Linked DNA regions of Nothobranchius furzeri. The protein of the gene in region 3 interacts with the protein of the main gene of each other region in a biochemical or structural test. Links are inferred from orthologs where the notes say so. Each region holds a gene or a part of one and is shown on either strand. Other genes may lie near its edges. The genes, in order: pld1b, ralbp1 and ralaa.

Region 1 (5,119 bases), about 20 Mb from region 3:
CTGACACACCAACAGCTGGTGTGGAAAACAGGATTTTAGATGTAAGCTGGATGAGCTGCTGGTTCTGGTTCTGATGTTTCTGCTTTAGTCTGTTCACCCGCCCACCGGAGGATTGGCTCTGGTGGAGCTGTCACGTCTCATCTGAGACAGACACAAGATACAGAGGTGGTTCTGTAGGCATCCTCTTCCTCTGCCACAGGAACAGGGGTTGTGGACAGATTTATTACCAACTGCAGAAGACGAAGCATCAACTTGAGCGTCGTTATGTTCTTGTCGTTTGTGAGACCTCAGGAGCTTCAGTACGTGATTATTTTAATTATCAGTCAGAGACTCCAGCTCATTTCCATGCAGATGTTTTATTTTGTCTCACTGTGGCTGCAGGAGCAGGAGGAACAGCAGGAGAAGCTGCAGCTCCTACTGTTGCTCCTGGCCCCTTACTGCGGCAGGAGCAGGAGGTGCAGCAGGAGAAGCTGCAGCTCCTACTGTTGCTCCCCTTTGCAGCAGGAGGAACAGCAGGAGAAGCTGCAGCTCCTACTGTTGCTCCTGGCCCCTTACTGCGGCAGGAGCAGGAGGTGCAGCAGGAGAAGCTGCAGCTCCTACTGTTGCTCCCCTTTGCAGCAGGAGCAGGAGGTGCAGCAGGAGAAGCTGCAGCTCCTACTGTTGCTCCCCTTTGCAGCAGGAGGAACAGCAGGAGAAGCTGCAGCTCCTACTGTTGCTCCTGGCCCCTTACTGCTGCAGGAGCAGGAGGAACGGCAGGAGAAGCTGCAGCTCCTGTTGCTCCCCTTTGCAGCAGGAGCAGGAGGTGCAGCAGGAGAAGCTGCAGCTCCTACTGTTGCTCCTGGCCCCTTACTGCGGCAGGAGCAGGAGGTGCAGCAGGAGAAGCTGCAGCTCCTGTTGCTCCCCTTTGCAGCAGGAGCAGGAGGTGCAGCAGGAGAAGCTGCAGCTCCTGTTGGTCCCCTTTGCAGCAGGAGGTGCAGCAGGAGAAGCTGCAGCTCCTGTTGGTCCCCTTTGCAGCAGGAGGTGCAGCAGGAGAAGCTGCAGCTCCTGTTGGTCCCCTTTGCAGCAGGAGGTGCAGCAGGAGAAGCTGCAGTGAAGGGACCAGGAGCAGCAACAGGGTCTGGTTTAACTGTTACTCAACAATTCTCACATTTTAAAGATGTAAGTGAATTATGTCAGAATAAACAGGCTGCTGTGTGATTTTCTGGGTTACTCACAGGAAATCACACAGCAGACTAGTGTTTCTACACAGGAAGTGACTCAACCTTCAAAACAAAAGCCTCACAGTTAGGTTTTAAGCATGTTTGTTTTTAAAAACAACTAAAAATGTCTAAATGTTTCCATTTCCGAATTGAACAGATAATTACCTTTAAAATATAATTATGGCCTGTATTTCATTTTCAAAAAATGATTTCTAATTTTATTTTATTGCACCTAATTTTTATCCTAAAGAGTGGTCTGACACTTTCTTTTATTCTGCTGACCTTTCTGTTAAAATCATCTAATTACAAAACAACTCAGAACGTTGTTATGCCATTTCATTTTCTTTGACTTCAGTGCATTCAGCAGCTGGTTTGTAGCCACCAGACCTCCAGAACAGAAGTATTCTGATTACTCTTCATTTGTCTGCAGAGACGCTCCAGTGCTGAGCAGGAGCCTCATCCTGGAACAGAAAAGGGAGGAGGCCACGCCCTGCTGCTTTAACCATAACAAGAGGTAAATTCAGCATCCTCTCTCGCTCGGACTCTCTGCCAGACGTCACAAGAGTTTAATATAATAACAGACATTTAGCTCTAAATGTTATCTCACAAGGAGGAAGTGTTGGTCTTTGTAACCCCTCACATCTGCTCCATTAAACACACGCCGCTGACGAGTCACTGATGGTTACCATGGTGACCCTAATGAGCCTCTAGTGTGAGTGAAGTCACATGTGTGTATTTTATGTTTTTGTGAGCTAACCCTTTTCTGTTTTTAAACAGGAGTCTTGAATCATTATAAACTTTTTCTCGCGGTCCTTTCTCCTCCCAGATATAGGCTTTTATTTTGAAGGTGAGCCAACCGGATGTAGTGCCCAGGTTTTTTACAGCTGTTTGACATCAATCAGGTGGGTTTGGGTCTCCCGACCAGAGGTGCAGCTGCTGTCGCTTCACATCAGGAGGAGGTGAGTCCCGGTCCGGTTCGATGGTCCGGTCCGGTTCGGTCCGCTTCATGTGTTTGTTTTATCGTGTTGGGGAAGTTAGCTGGAGTTGAGCTGTTTAATGATTGGCTGGTTCGGGTTTATTTAATATTTATTTGCTGTGTGAAGGAATCCTGCTGCAGGGTTCCGGTTCTGGTTCTGGTTCGGTCTCAGGGTTTAATCAGTCTGGTTGTTGGAACCGTCTCCCGGGGGGAGGCGGGTTCTGGAGCTGTTCGTGGGCGGGATGGGAACGGGTCAGACCTGTATGATTGTTCCCCTTTTCTCTGCTCTCCTCTCCGTCCGCGGTGAACTTCCCTCCGACCAGCTCGGGTCAGAACCAGAACCAGCTCCCCACACAGGCTGACCCAGAGCCAGCTCAGCTCGGGTCAGAACCAGAACCAGCGCCTTCTCCTCTGAAATCACTCCTGGTGATGATTCACCTCCAGCAGTAAATCACGCGCAGGCTCCGTGTTCTGGTTCTGGTTCCGTTCATTTGTTGTGAAACTGCTGTTGAAATGTTTCTGACTCAACCAGGAAGTCAGAGAAAATCTTTTCTTCTTCTTTTCTTAAATCTGTGAAAGGAGATTTGATCAGGGTGTTTTAAGCCTCTGCCTCTAACTCAAGGGATGAGCCAGCCAGACGTAAAGAAGATGAAAATATGCAGAACAAAGACTAAATCGGATGAAAGCCCGGTGGGTTGTGCAATCCCACGTTTACATGAAGGAAACGGTTGTTGTGGAAACCTGGAACTCGGCAGGAATATTCAAGCAGCCTAAACATGTCAGCAGCGGTGAAGCTCCTGAAGTTCAGTCATGGTTCTTGGTTTTGCTCCTGCCCTCGAGCTTATCAGGGGCCCATCTGGCCCTCTTTGAACCCCCTCTGGCTCCGCCCCTGGCCCCCCCTCAGAACCATAATTTGGTCTGATTTCTGGAGTCGGCTCAGTCGGGAAACACCGCGATAACTTCTGGATCATCTGGAGGTTCTTTAGTTTCGAAACTTTTAGTTTTGTCCTGTCGTTGCTTCTAGTCACCCTGATCATAGTTCTACAACAGCCTGACAGTCTGGACATCCATGATCCAGAACCACTTTAGGAGATTACCGGAACGCCGTGCTGCTGGGAGGCTGAACAGAGTCTCAGATCAGGAGATCTGCACCTCAGTGGCAACGGGCTAACGGTACTCAGCCAGGCCTGTAAACACGGCCCACAGGATGGGAGTGCTTCATTTACTTTGAGGGTGTGTGTGTGTGTTTGTGCCACACACACACACACACACACACATCCTGATGGGCGATTCCAGCCTTTAATCAATACCAGCAGCAGCTAAATGTCAGGATCCACGAGGCTCTGGAGACGGAGCAGCCTGCAGGCAGGAACCTCACCCACTCTGGAGAACGTTCTGCTCCAATTAGGAAATAACAGGAATGATCCTGGAGACCGTTTGTTCAGTTTCACATCCTGCAGCTTTGGGAGATGTACCCAATATCTGCAACAAGCTGCAGGAGGAGCCTCTAACAATAAGCCCCGCCCCCTCAGGTAAACTCGACTGTAGAAACCTGATCCAGAGTCCAACCGGGACACAGGAAGCTGGACTTTCCATGACTGAATGTTGTTCTGTCTCTGTGATGATGTCATCATATGTCTCACTGCAGTAGAACCCCTAACAGCCACTGGTGGTTGCCATAGTGATGCTATTGAACCACTGGCAGCAGCTTTAACATTTCTGCTCTGGTGCTACCTAAAATGATCTTGTTGTATAAAGGGAAGAGACGAGGCAGAAGTAGACGTATTTAAGCTTCTAAAACCTCATCAAACCGACGTTTTCCTTCGTGTTTCAACAACAGACGGCTCACACGGAGCTTATTTACTCACGGAGGGACTTTTAAACCTGCTGACGATTATCCATATTCATGTTTGTAGTGAACTGAAACCCAGCAGCAGGTTTTAGCAGCAGCAGGAGGAAACTGAAGGTTCCAGCTGCTAAACTCTGGTTTTACATTAAAATAAAAATATTTAAATGATGATAAAATCAGTTAGCACTCAGCTGCTGTGGCTTCATTAGCTGAGGTTATTTCCTGTTTGCATCTGCAGAAATCTGAATGTGGGACTTTTTTTTACTATTTCAACTTCATGGTTAAATTTGGTGCATAAACTATAATTATCCTCTAAAGTGAAACGGTTTAGTCCTAAAGTCTGCAAACGCCTGGATTATTAAACTTTTTCTAAAATGTTTGCTTCAAATAAATCAGTAAAACTTTTATTTTTCTCACAAAGTTACAAAAATGAGAACAAACCTAGGCTTTTATTTTGTTGACACCAATGATGTCTGTACTTAAATATGTTCTGTGTGTGTGTGTGTGTGTGTGTGTGTGTGTGTGTGTGTGTGTGTGTGTGTGTGTGTGTGTGCATGCGCGTATGGGCATGTGTGTGTGTGCGCGCGTGCATGAGCGTATGGGTGTGTGTGTGTGTGTGCGTGTTTTAAATGAAATCTCTGAACATTAAAGATGGCCTCCAGCTGATGTTAGGTGGTTTTGTTTGACCGAAGCGCAGAAACGGCGACGTGTCTCACAAACGGGCCACAGCTTGTGTCCGAGCCAAATGTCCGACTGATGAAGGCGTCACATTTAAATCAGATCTTTATTTTACCGCCTGTTAAACGTTTCGTATTCTCGTTCACCTAGAACCATCAACACCAAACACAAAATCACTTCCTGCCACAGATTTATTTTTATTTTAAAACTCCAGCCTCAAATTTCCAGACTTCGTTTTTATTTTAGAAAAATTACAAACTTATTTTTAAATATTTCAAACATTTAAAAAACGACTAACTTTGGCTGTAAATCATTTAGAAACCTGCTAACCAGATAAACTAGGGAGACTAGAAATGCACAGATTCTGGTTCTGCGGACCGATACCGACACCAAATTTTGGCAAAGTTCTATTTGTTA
Region 2 (4,510 bases), on a different chromosome or scaffold from region 3:
GTAAAGATCCTTAAACTTCGCCCAAGATGTTTGTGGGGGTTTGGTTCTTTTATTCTGCATCCAAAGACCACCAACTGCTGCCCCTGGTGACTAGACTATGTTATTGTAATACATGTGAAAACCCATTTTAATTTACAAAGAAAACCTAAATATTGTTATTATATAAAATATAATTATTTAATATAATTAGTCGTTATCATTGTATTATAAAATCTTGTTATTGAACATTTTTTTTGTCACTGTAGGTGTGATGGAGAGGTGATGTTCCAGTCAGAGGAGCGCTAAAGGCCAGAGAAGCTATGACTGAGTGCTTCCTACCCCCCAGCAGCAGCCCTGCAGAGCAGCGCAGGGCTGAGCACCCGGGGGGCGTTGCTCGTACCCCCAGCTCCGAGGAGATCAGCCCTACCAAGTTCCCCGGGTTGTATCGTGCCAATGAACATTCGCCGCCTCATGATGGACATCACCACGAGGCACCTGACACATACGTCTCTGACGATGACAAGGAGCACAGCAAGAAGAAGAACAAGTTTAAAAAGAAGGAGAAAAGGAGTAGGATATGTTTTAATCTTCTGAAAATGATTATTTCTTCTGTTAAATCAAACCTGCTTTAGTTATGGGGAATGACCTGAAGCTGTTTTACTCCAAAGGTATGCTGGTATTTGTCACTAATCATTAGGGCTGAACGATCTATCGTTTGTGGATCGAAATTGCGATTTCAAACAGTACGGTCGTGACTGTCAAAGCTGCGGTTTTAGCGGTTTTGACTGATCCAGGATCAGTTGTGTAACTTTTTTTATTTTTATTTTTTTACATCCGGGGTTTTCTCCCTGTGTTATGGCGGTGGCATAAGCCAGAGCAGGGGAGGGGAGAGACTCCTCCCACATCGGAGCAGGTTCAGGCTGGTTTCTAAAGCTGGTTTATGCTTCATCAGCGTGACTGCAGAGTCGCGCACTTTAGTTGACTTGAAAGCTAAACTTCTCATTTAAAATGGTTTGAATGTTTCTGATGGCATATGTTGGTTCAAACAAGCTAAGGTGTCAGAATGTGTTCGTCTCTCTCACGGAACTGACGTTTTAGTGAGGAAAAACTATCAAGACGGCTTCGAAAAACGTGCAGCCGGCCTGCCTTGGAAATGCAGGGAAAACTGTGTGCATTTTTTTTATTTAATACATTTAAAAGCTATTTCTATCTACAGATTTCCTCCATGCATTTTTGGAGTAGAACATGTTTTTATAAACCTCCTCTCTAGATAAAAATCACAAGCACATGTTGCTTCACAAACACATTAAAAATTTAAATAAATATAATTATGGGAGAAAATATGAATAGCTTTAACTGTTTTTATTGTATGACTAAATAGTAAATATTAATGTGAATGATTTGTTGTACTAGATTAGAATCTAGACCATCTTTTCACTTAATCTATAGGATGGCTTGGCAGGCTAGTGTTGGACCTTTGTTTGCAGAAAATCGTGAATTGAACCGAAATCGCAATTTCTGCAAGAAAAATTGCAATTCAATCTTTTCCTAAAATCGTTCAGTCCCACTAAACATGGAAAAATGACTTCAAAGGTTTTATTCCAAATGCAAAATGAGACCTAAATAAATTGGAAGATATTTTTTATGGAATTTCAATAGATGAAGTGTTTGTAGAAGTTACTGATACCACTAATTAAGAAAGATTTTCAAACTACAAATATTTAGACTGGAATTTGAAAGCATACCAGCACATATTGTGACAATCCGGAGTTCTCCCTCAGAATTATGGATGATTTTCTAGAAATGTCCTGCCTGTTTTGTGATATAATGTAGGCAATGCATCTTTTTATTTATTTATTTTTTGCAAAGCCCATCCTCGTCCTGTAGAGCCTCATGCAGTTTGAAAAGTGTGCCGCTCAGCATCAGCCAGTAGTGATATCCGCCTATGTACAGATGTCAGTCAAAGAGCAGAGTTGGGGGCATTTCTCATGGACATGAATTAGCACAACTTGGGAAAATATACAAGACGGTGTGTTTCAGCCCTGTTTGCCAGCTAGAGGTGTGGCCATAAATATGGAGGTGGGGAGAATGGCTTAAGGTGCAATACATGTTTCAGCCTCTAGATGGCGGCGTCAGATAAAACAGTCCATATATCTTATGTGTTCATATGTTCTGCAAGTGCATTGGTTCAGTCCTTGAGTATGAACAATTAAGATTTTTTAAAAGCCGGGTTATACTGATTTAAGAATAACTTCATAGTAAATAGGTGACTAAAATGGATGAACCTGTGTGTACACATACCTGAGCATATCATAAAAATGTTAGCTTTAGGTTAAAATTAAAAATATGGTTTGTTTTAATTAATTTAATTGAATGTCCAAATATAACAAAGAAAAGTCTAAAGTATAAAAAATGTGTTTTAGAACCAGCAAGATGGTAGCTGTTAGCTGAAGGATAGCTGTACAGAATGAAGATGCAGTTCACACATTTCTACAACCACCATCAGCAGCAGACGGGGTGGGTTAAGTGTCTTGCTCAAGGACACAACAGAAGAATTGTCTGCCAGGGCATGGAATCAGTCCTACAACCTTCCGATTATTAGACAACCCGCTCTACCTCCTGAGCTACTGCTGAGGAATTAAGAGTGGTTTAAATCTTTTGCACAGCACGAGTCATGAAGCAGCGTTTAAAACAAACCAGCGAGAGTTTTTCAGCTGTTTAGGTTCGTCCTTCCTCTCCTTGCTGGTAGTGCGGTCAGTGTCTTTCTCTGTATTAGTTTTTCCATGTCTGCTTTTAGCTCCTGCACTCGTGTCCTGCGAGTGAAAGGAAGTGATGGTCAGTTTTAGGCCAACGCCCACTGATCCCAGTGACACTGACAAACAGGACCGATATAATAATACTAGTAAAACTGAGAAGAGGTCACTCGTTAGATATTAGAGATGATCGTCTTTAGGAGAAGCCAGCTGGAAGGTGTTGGGGGAGCTGTGCTCAATCAGAGGTGACCTCTTTTCCAAGTCCCCGTTCTCTCCCTCTGCTCTCTTTTCTCTCTCACACATCTCTCTTCCTGTTTCTATTTCGCCTCTATCGTAGTTCTGTTGTAGGAGGGAGATAAGGGCACCCTCCCTTCAGATTTAACCTCGTTTCTGCCTCTTTTTTTCACTGTTTACGTCCACAGCTGAGGGATACGCCGCCTTCCAGGAGGACAGTTCGGCAGATGAGGCGGAGAGCCCCTCCAAAATGAAGCGCTCCAAGGGAATCCACGTGTTCAAGAAGCCGAGCTTCTCCAAGAAGAAAGAGAAGGACTTTAAGGTGAAGGAGAAGGGCCCCAAAGAGGAAAAGGCCAAAGATAAAAAGTCCAAGGACCTGACGGCAGCAGATGTGGTCAAACAATGGAAGGAGAAGAAGAAGAAGAAGAAGCCTGTTGCAGAGTCAGAGCCAGTCCCAGTGGAGACCCCCACCATCAGGCCCATCTTTGGAGCCCCGCTGGGTGAAGCGTTGAAGAGGACGGCTCTGTACGACGGCATCCAGCTGCCCTCCATCTTCAGAGAATGTGTGGACTACATAGAAAACTATGGCATGAAGTGTGAGGGTATCTACCGGGTCTCAGGTATCGAACACCTTTGTTTTCCTTCAGAAGAAATCATAACACTCCTCTCTGAGTACTTCATTCATTTGTTTCCCGGCCAGGTATGAAGTCTAAGGTGGATGAACTGAAAGCCGCCTACGACCGTGAGGAGTGCCCCTGCCTGGAGGAGTACGACCCCCACACCGTCGCCAGTCTGCTGAAGCAGTACCTCAGAGAGCTGCCCGAGAACCTGCTGGGTCGAGACCTGGCCCAGAGGTTTGAGGACGCCTGCGGTCGGCAGACGGAGGCCGAGAAAGTGACGGAGTTTCAGAAGCTGTTGACTGAAGTGTCTCCTGAGAGCCGACTTCTCCTCTCCTGGCTCGTCACACACATGGACCATGTCATCGCCCGGGAGTCGGACACCAAGATGAACATTCAGAACATCTCCATCGTCCTCAACCCCACCATACAGGTCAGAGGAGGCTGTTTAGTGTCTACAAAGTACGCTACAGCCAAAGTACGGCTTAAAGAAGATAAAGCGACTTTAACTCAGACCTTCTCCTTAGCAACAAACCAACTAATTTTACGAGTTCAGTTCATCTCTGACACCATTGCCCAGTTCGGCGGGGCTAATTTATCCCCAGAGGAGATGCCCCACTTATTCTGAGCCAAAAACATCAGTAGCCAAAACAGCGTTAAATAAACACGATCGGTTAATGAGAGTATCGAGCTGAGTAAATATGCAGGAATTTGTGTTCTGGAGAATCTGACCTAGAAACCTTTGGGTTGGTCATCTCAGGTTCAGGTGAGGGACGGATGCCGTTGTTCTTCTTGCTTTGTGCTCATTTTCATCTTCCTTTCAGATTGGGAATCGTGTCCTTTACATCTTCTTCACACACGTGAAGGAGCTGTTTGGGGACGTTGTCCTGAAGCCGGTGGTGCGGCCGCTCCGATGGTCCAACATGG
Region 3 (3,959 bases):
ACAAAAATAAAAACAAGCACACGATTTTCATTATTATAACACAGCCTGGCACCAAATGTAGCAAAAGGAATAAAATTAAACTGAAGCACTGGCCGTCCAGGATTACAGGATGAGTGAGTGGGGATTATCCAGTTTCACATCCCACAGGAATTCCTAAAGCCCCCGTAACCCTGTTTAGTTGCACTCCCATGATAAGCTAGCTTACTCTATCTACTCAAACTTCGTAGTGCTGATTTCTTTATTCTCACTCACCAGAATTAGGAACTGGTCACTTATTTGTGAGCAGTTTTCTTTGGTGACTGACAGCTCATCCATTTTATTCCTAAATAATAAAAGTATTGAGTTTAAAACCACATAGGACCACATCTGGAAGCCATTAGTTTCATCGTAAGTGTCAGAACTTCACGTAGAAAAGACGTAGTGTTTCTGGAATCTCCTCTTATCAGAGCACCAGGGATTCCTCAGTCACAGCAGAAGGCAACGGCAGCCATTAGCCCGGCCTTTAGAAGCTAGGAGGCCAGTAACAAGTTCAGGTGTTGCTAAAATCCTTCTCGGCTTTAAGGGTTCGATGTGGTTTGTGCATTTTCGGAAGTGACTGAGAAAAGGGGGGGGGGGGAATACCCATATTTCTATAATCCAAGAAAAAAGAAAAATGACCCTTTGCAGACTAATATAGTGCTCAAGAACATTTCCAGGAGTAAAACAGGAAGGAATGGCATCAAATTTCAGCTCTGGTTTGGATAATGAAATGTTTAAATAAAGAAAAAATCCTCCCCAGGTTCAGATAAACTTTCATTTTTTCTTCTGTGGCAAATAGGGACCTGTGGTCGGTTTGCTTTTCCTACAAAGATGTTAAATTCATTAAATGGATTCAGGGCTTTCCTCCTATCTTCTTCCATTTAAAGTTATTTTTACTTGAACTCAACCTGCAGTCTGAGTACTTTATAAACAACAAGCGTTACAATGAAAGGTTCATTTAGGAGCTTCGGGGCACTGATGTATGATGGGATCTAAGGGCCGTTGTAGTTTAAATAGAACAGGAGCGGAACGTAGCAGGGGGGTTAAACTCCTAGATAAGTTGCAGAAATGCTGAGATTAATAAAATATTTTAATTTAAAAAAATGACCAGTGCCTACTGTTTTTTTTTTGTTTGTTTGCATGAAGAAAATACTAATTTAATAACAAAAGTCTAAAAGTACAAAACTAGAACTGGTAGATGTTTGTTTTTAACCATAAATTTAACACTTTAAGAATATCTGGACATTCTTTTAATTTTCTACTTTATTCTTGGGAATTTTTAAGTTAATGATCAATTTAAAGGGACAATGTGCAGTTTTTACCGTTAATCTGGAAAGATCCATCGAAACATTGAAAATGAATAAAATAATGTCCAATCGTTGAAAAATATTGGTGGCTTCGTACCACATAACCATCAAAATCAGGTCTAAAGGGGGACGCCATATTAGATGCCATGTTTCCTTCTGGCCAGCTTGGGGTCCTGCGCCTGTCGATGACATCACACCAGATGATTGGCTGGAAGAACGGCTTATGGAAGTTACATTACCACGTTCAAAATCATTTAAGCAGTAAGAAACATGAATTTAATAACAAAACTGCTGAACTCTTTCCAAAACATGCATGAAAGAACAGAATAAAAAAAGAAATGAAATACATTTTGGCCGAGTGGTATTGCCGTAATAAGATGATGTCATCAGCAGGCGCAGAACTCAAGCAGTTCCGGAAACTACAGCGCCAGAAATCTAGCATCAGCATTCCTTTGATGGAATTAACTGAAGGATCATCAAAGTCTGAGGAGCCACGCCGAGGTTGCATGCTTTCTTCTCCGCAGGTAACGACATTTACTGTAATGTTTTTTTTAAACCAGCGACAGTCATGGCGATATGTTGTAAAATTACCCCGAAATGTATGTACTGCCCCCTAGTGCCAGGATACTACACACTGCCACTTTAAGTGTTTCAGTAAATTCACTTCCCTATATTTTTTTTTTCACAAATTTCTAACTTTAAAATGTCAATATCAGTTTTATTTTTGTAAATTTGTGTGTTTTAGATAAGGACATTTTCACACTTTTCCTTGCAAATGAAGGACTTTCAAGAACAATAATTGTATTTTTGTGTTTCTATGTAAATATGACATTAATCTCTACATTTCTTCTAGGATTTCATTCCCTCAGCTCTATATCCATATTTAATTTCTTTTAAATCAAAGACGGCCCCAATATGTTGTCAGAGTTTAAAAAAATAATAATAATAAAATAAAAAGAGTATTTGAATCCTAAATTATTTGGAGTGTCAGCACATAAAAAGTTAGAGTTATAAATGGTGGATGGAGTGCCGTCTTTACTACTTCCTGACACGGATGTCCTGTTAGCCAGAAACAGGAAGTGGTGTTCAGGTATGGGCACAAAATAAATGCAAAAGTCTGAGAAATGTATATGTACACAAGCAGCTAACCTGCAGAACTTCACTATAAAATACAGCATCTCTCTCTAATTCTCTTAGCCAAACTTTTACTTTTCTTCTTCCCGTTCTTTTCTTTGCTGTCTTCCATTTTCCTCGCTCGGATCTCTCTCATCAGGTCAAAAAACACCTGGACAGAAATAAACAAAATAAAATCTTGTTCTATTTGCTCCAGGTAAACACGGTGGGGCGACTGTAACAGGTGTGCCAACAAACCTTGTCAACATTGGCGCGGGTTTTGGCAGAAGTCTCCACGTAGCACACCCCCCACTGCTCAGCGCGGGCCTTGGCTTCGTCCGCGCTCACCTGCCGCCGGTCGTCCAAGTCCGACTTGTTACCCACCAGGAGGAAGGGCACGTTCTCATCCTCCTTCACTCGCAGAATCTGCTCTCTGCAAAACAGAGACGATGGATAGAAACAAAGCTCTGTAGGTGGTTTGGTTTAGAACAGCTGATAAAACTTGAAGGGATTTCATTTTGATGCACCCGTAGATCCTCCACCAGGGGGCAGTAGACAGAGCTGGATTTGAAAGTGATGATTGTTCTGCAGTAATTAATGAATCATTGGATAAAAGCAGATGGCTGCACGGTGGCACTGCTGATAGCACTGTAGCCTCTCCACAGGAAGGTTGCAGGTTTGAATCCCAGCAGCAACATTCCTAAGCGGAGTTAGCATGTGCGGGTTTTTTCACACGGACAAAAAAAAAACGTTTACTTCAGGTTAATTAGACTTCATCTTGTTCCTAAGAGTGAGTGAGGGGTTGTTCGTCTCTGTGGTGGACTAGAGATCTGTCTAGGATGCCCCCCCCCCCCCCCCTCACCTAATGACTGCTGGGGTTAAGCACCAGCTTCTACTGCTTTCAGATCACGAGTCAGTGAGAGGATTGACTGTAACATAATTATAAAATGTACCTGAAATCTACTGTTGCTGCGAACGACTCCAGTTCTGTGATGGAAAACACGCAGAGGAAGCCCTCTCCGCTACGGAAGTAGTTATCCCGGATGGCTGCGTAGTCCTCTTGGCCAGCCGTGTCGAGGATGTCAATCTGCACCTCCTCCCCGTCCAGCACCACTTTCTTCCTGTAGCTGTCTGCTTTAGTGGGCTCATAGTCCTCCACAAACTTCAAAGAAACATCAGCAGTTAAGATGAAAAGGCCTAAAATGAGTAAATCATTCATTCACCACTGCGATGCACTGACCTCGTCATACATGAACTGGAGGGTGAGGGCGGACTTCCCCACTCCTCCACTGCCCACCATGATCACTTTGTGAAGAGCTAGTGAGTTCTGTCCTTTTGGCTTCGCAGCTGCCATGACTCTGCGTTGATGCGCGTGTCGGGGGGAGAAAGCTCAAGGTGATGGGAGGAATGGTGAAGAGGTGAGAGGATTCCAGGTGAAGCAAAAGGCTCAATGAAGACTCCTGTGGGGGTTGAATGAAAGAGAGAGAGAGGGAATTTGCATCATGAATTCCAAAACCTGCA

What was found.
Region 1: the proteins of ralaa (region 3) and pld1b form a complex in vitro, tested with the Homo sapiens proteins (2 studies listed by BioGRID). The link is inferred for Nothobranchius furzeri from reciprocal best matches to the Homo sapiens genes RALA and PLD1.
Region 2: the proteins of ralaa (region 3) and ralbp1 form a complex in vitro, tested with the Homo sapiens proteins (3 studies listed by BioGRID). The link is inferred for Nothobranchius furzeri from reciprocal best matches to the Homo sapiens genes RALA and RALBP1.

Annotation. Positions count from the first base shown.
Region 1 is NC_091747.1:63,395,360-63,400,478, forward strand, and holds the start of pld1b (phospholipase D1), read left to right. Parts: upstream 1-1,641; 5' UTR 1,642-1,713; intron 1,714-2,063; exon of another isoform or gene 2,064-2,158; intron 2,159-5,119. UniProt on the Homo sapiens protein: Function as phospholipase selective for phosphatidylcholine. Implicated as a critical step in numerous cellular pathways, including signal transduction, membrane trafficking, and the regulation of mitosis.
Region 2 is NC_091751.1:42,840,904-42,845,413, forward strand, and holds part of ralbp1 (ralA-binding protein 1), read left to right. Parts: intron 1-245; 5' UTR 246-299; coding exon 300-549; intron 550-3,154; coding exon 3,155-3,586; intron 3,587-3,666; coding exon 3,667-4,016; intron 4,017-4,407; coding exon 4,408-4,510. UniProt on the Homo sapiens protein: Multifunctional protein that functions as a downstream effector of RALA and RALB. As a GTPase-activating protein/GAP can inactivate CDC42 and RAC1 by stimulating their GTPase activity.
Region 3 is NC_091747.1:43,592,519-43,596,477, forward strand, and holds part of ralaa (ras-related protein Ral-A), read right to left. Parts: intron 3,899-3,959; 5' UTR 3,793-3,898; coding exon 3,679-3,792; intron 3,601-3,678; coding exon 3,392-3,600; intron 2,872-3,391; coding exon 2,697-2,871; intron 2,611-2,696; coding exon 2,488-2,610; 3' UTR 1-2,487. UniProt on the Homo sapiens protein: Multifunctional GTPase involved in a variety of cellular processes including gene expression, cell migration, cell proliferation, oncogenic transformation and membrane trafficking.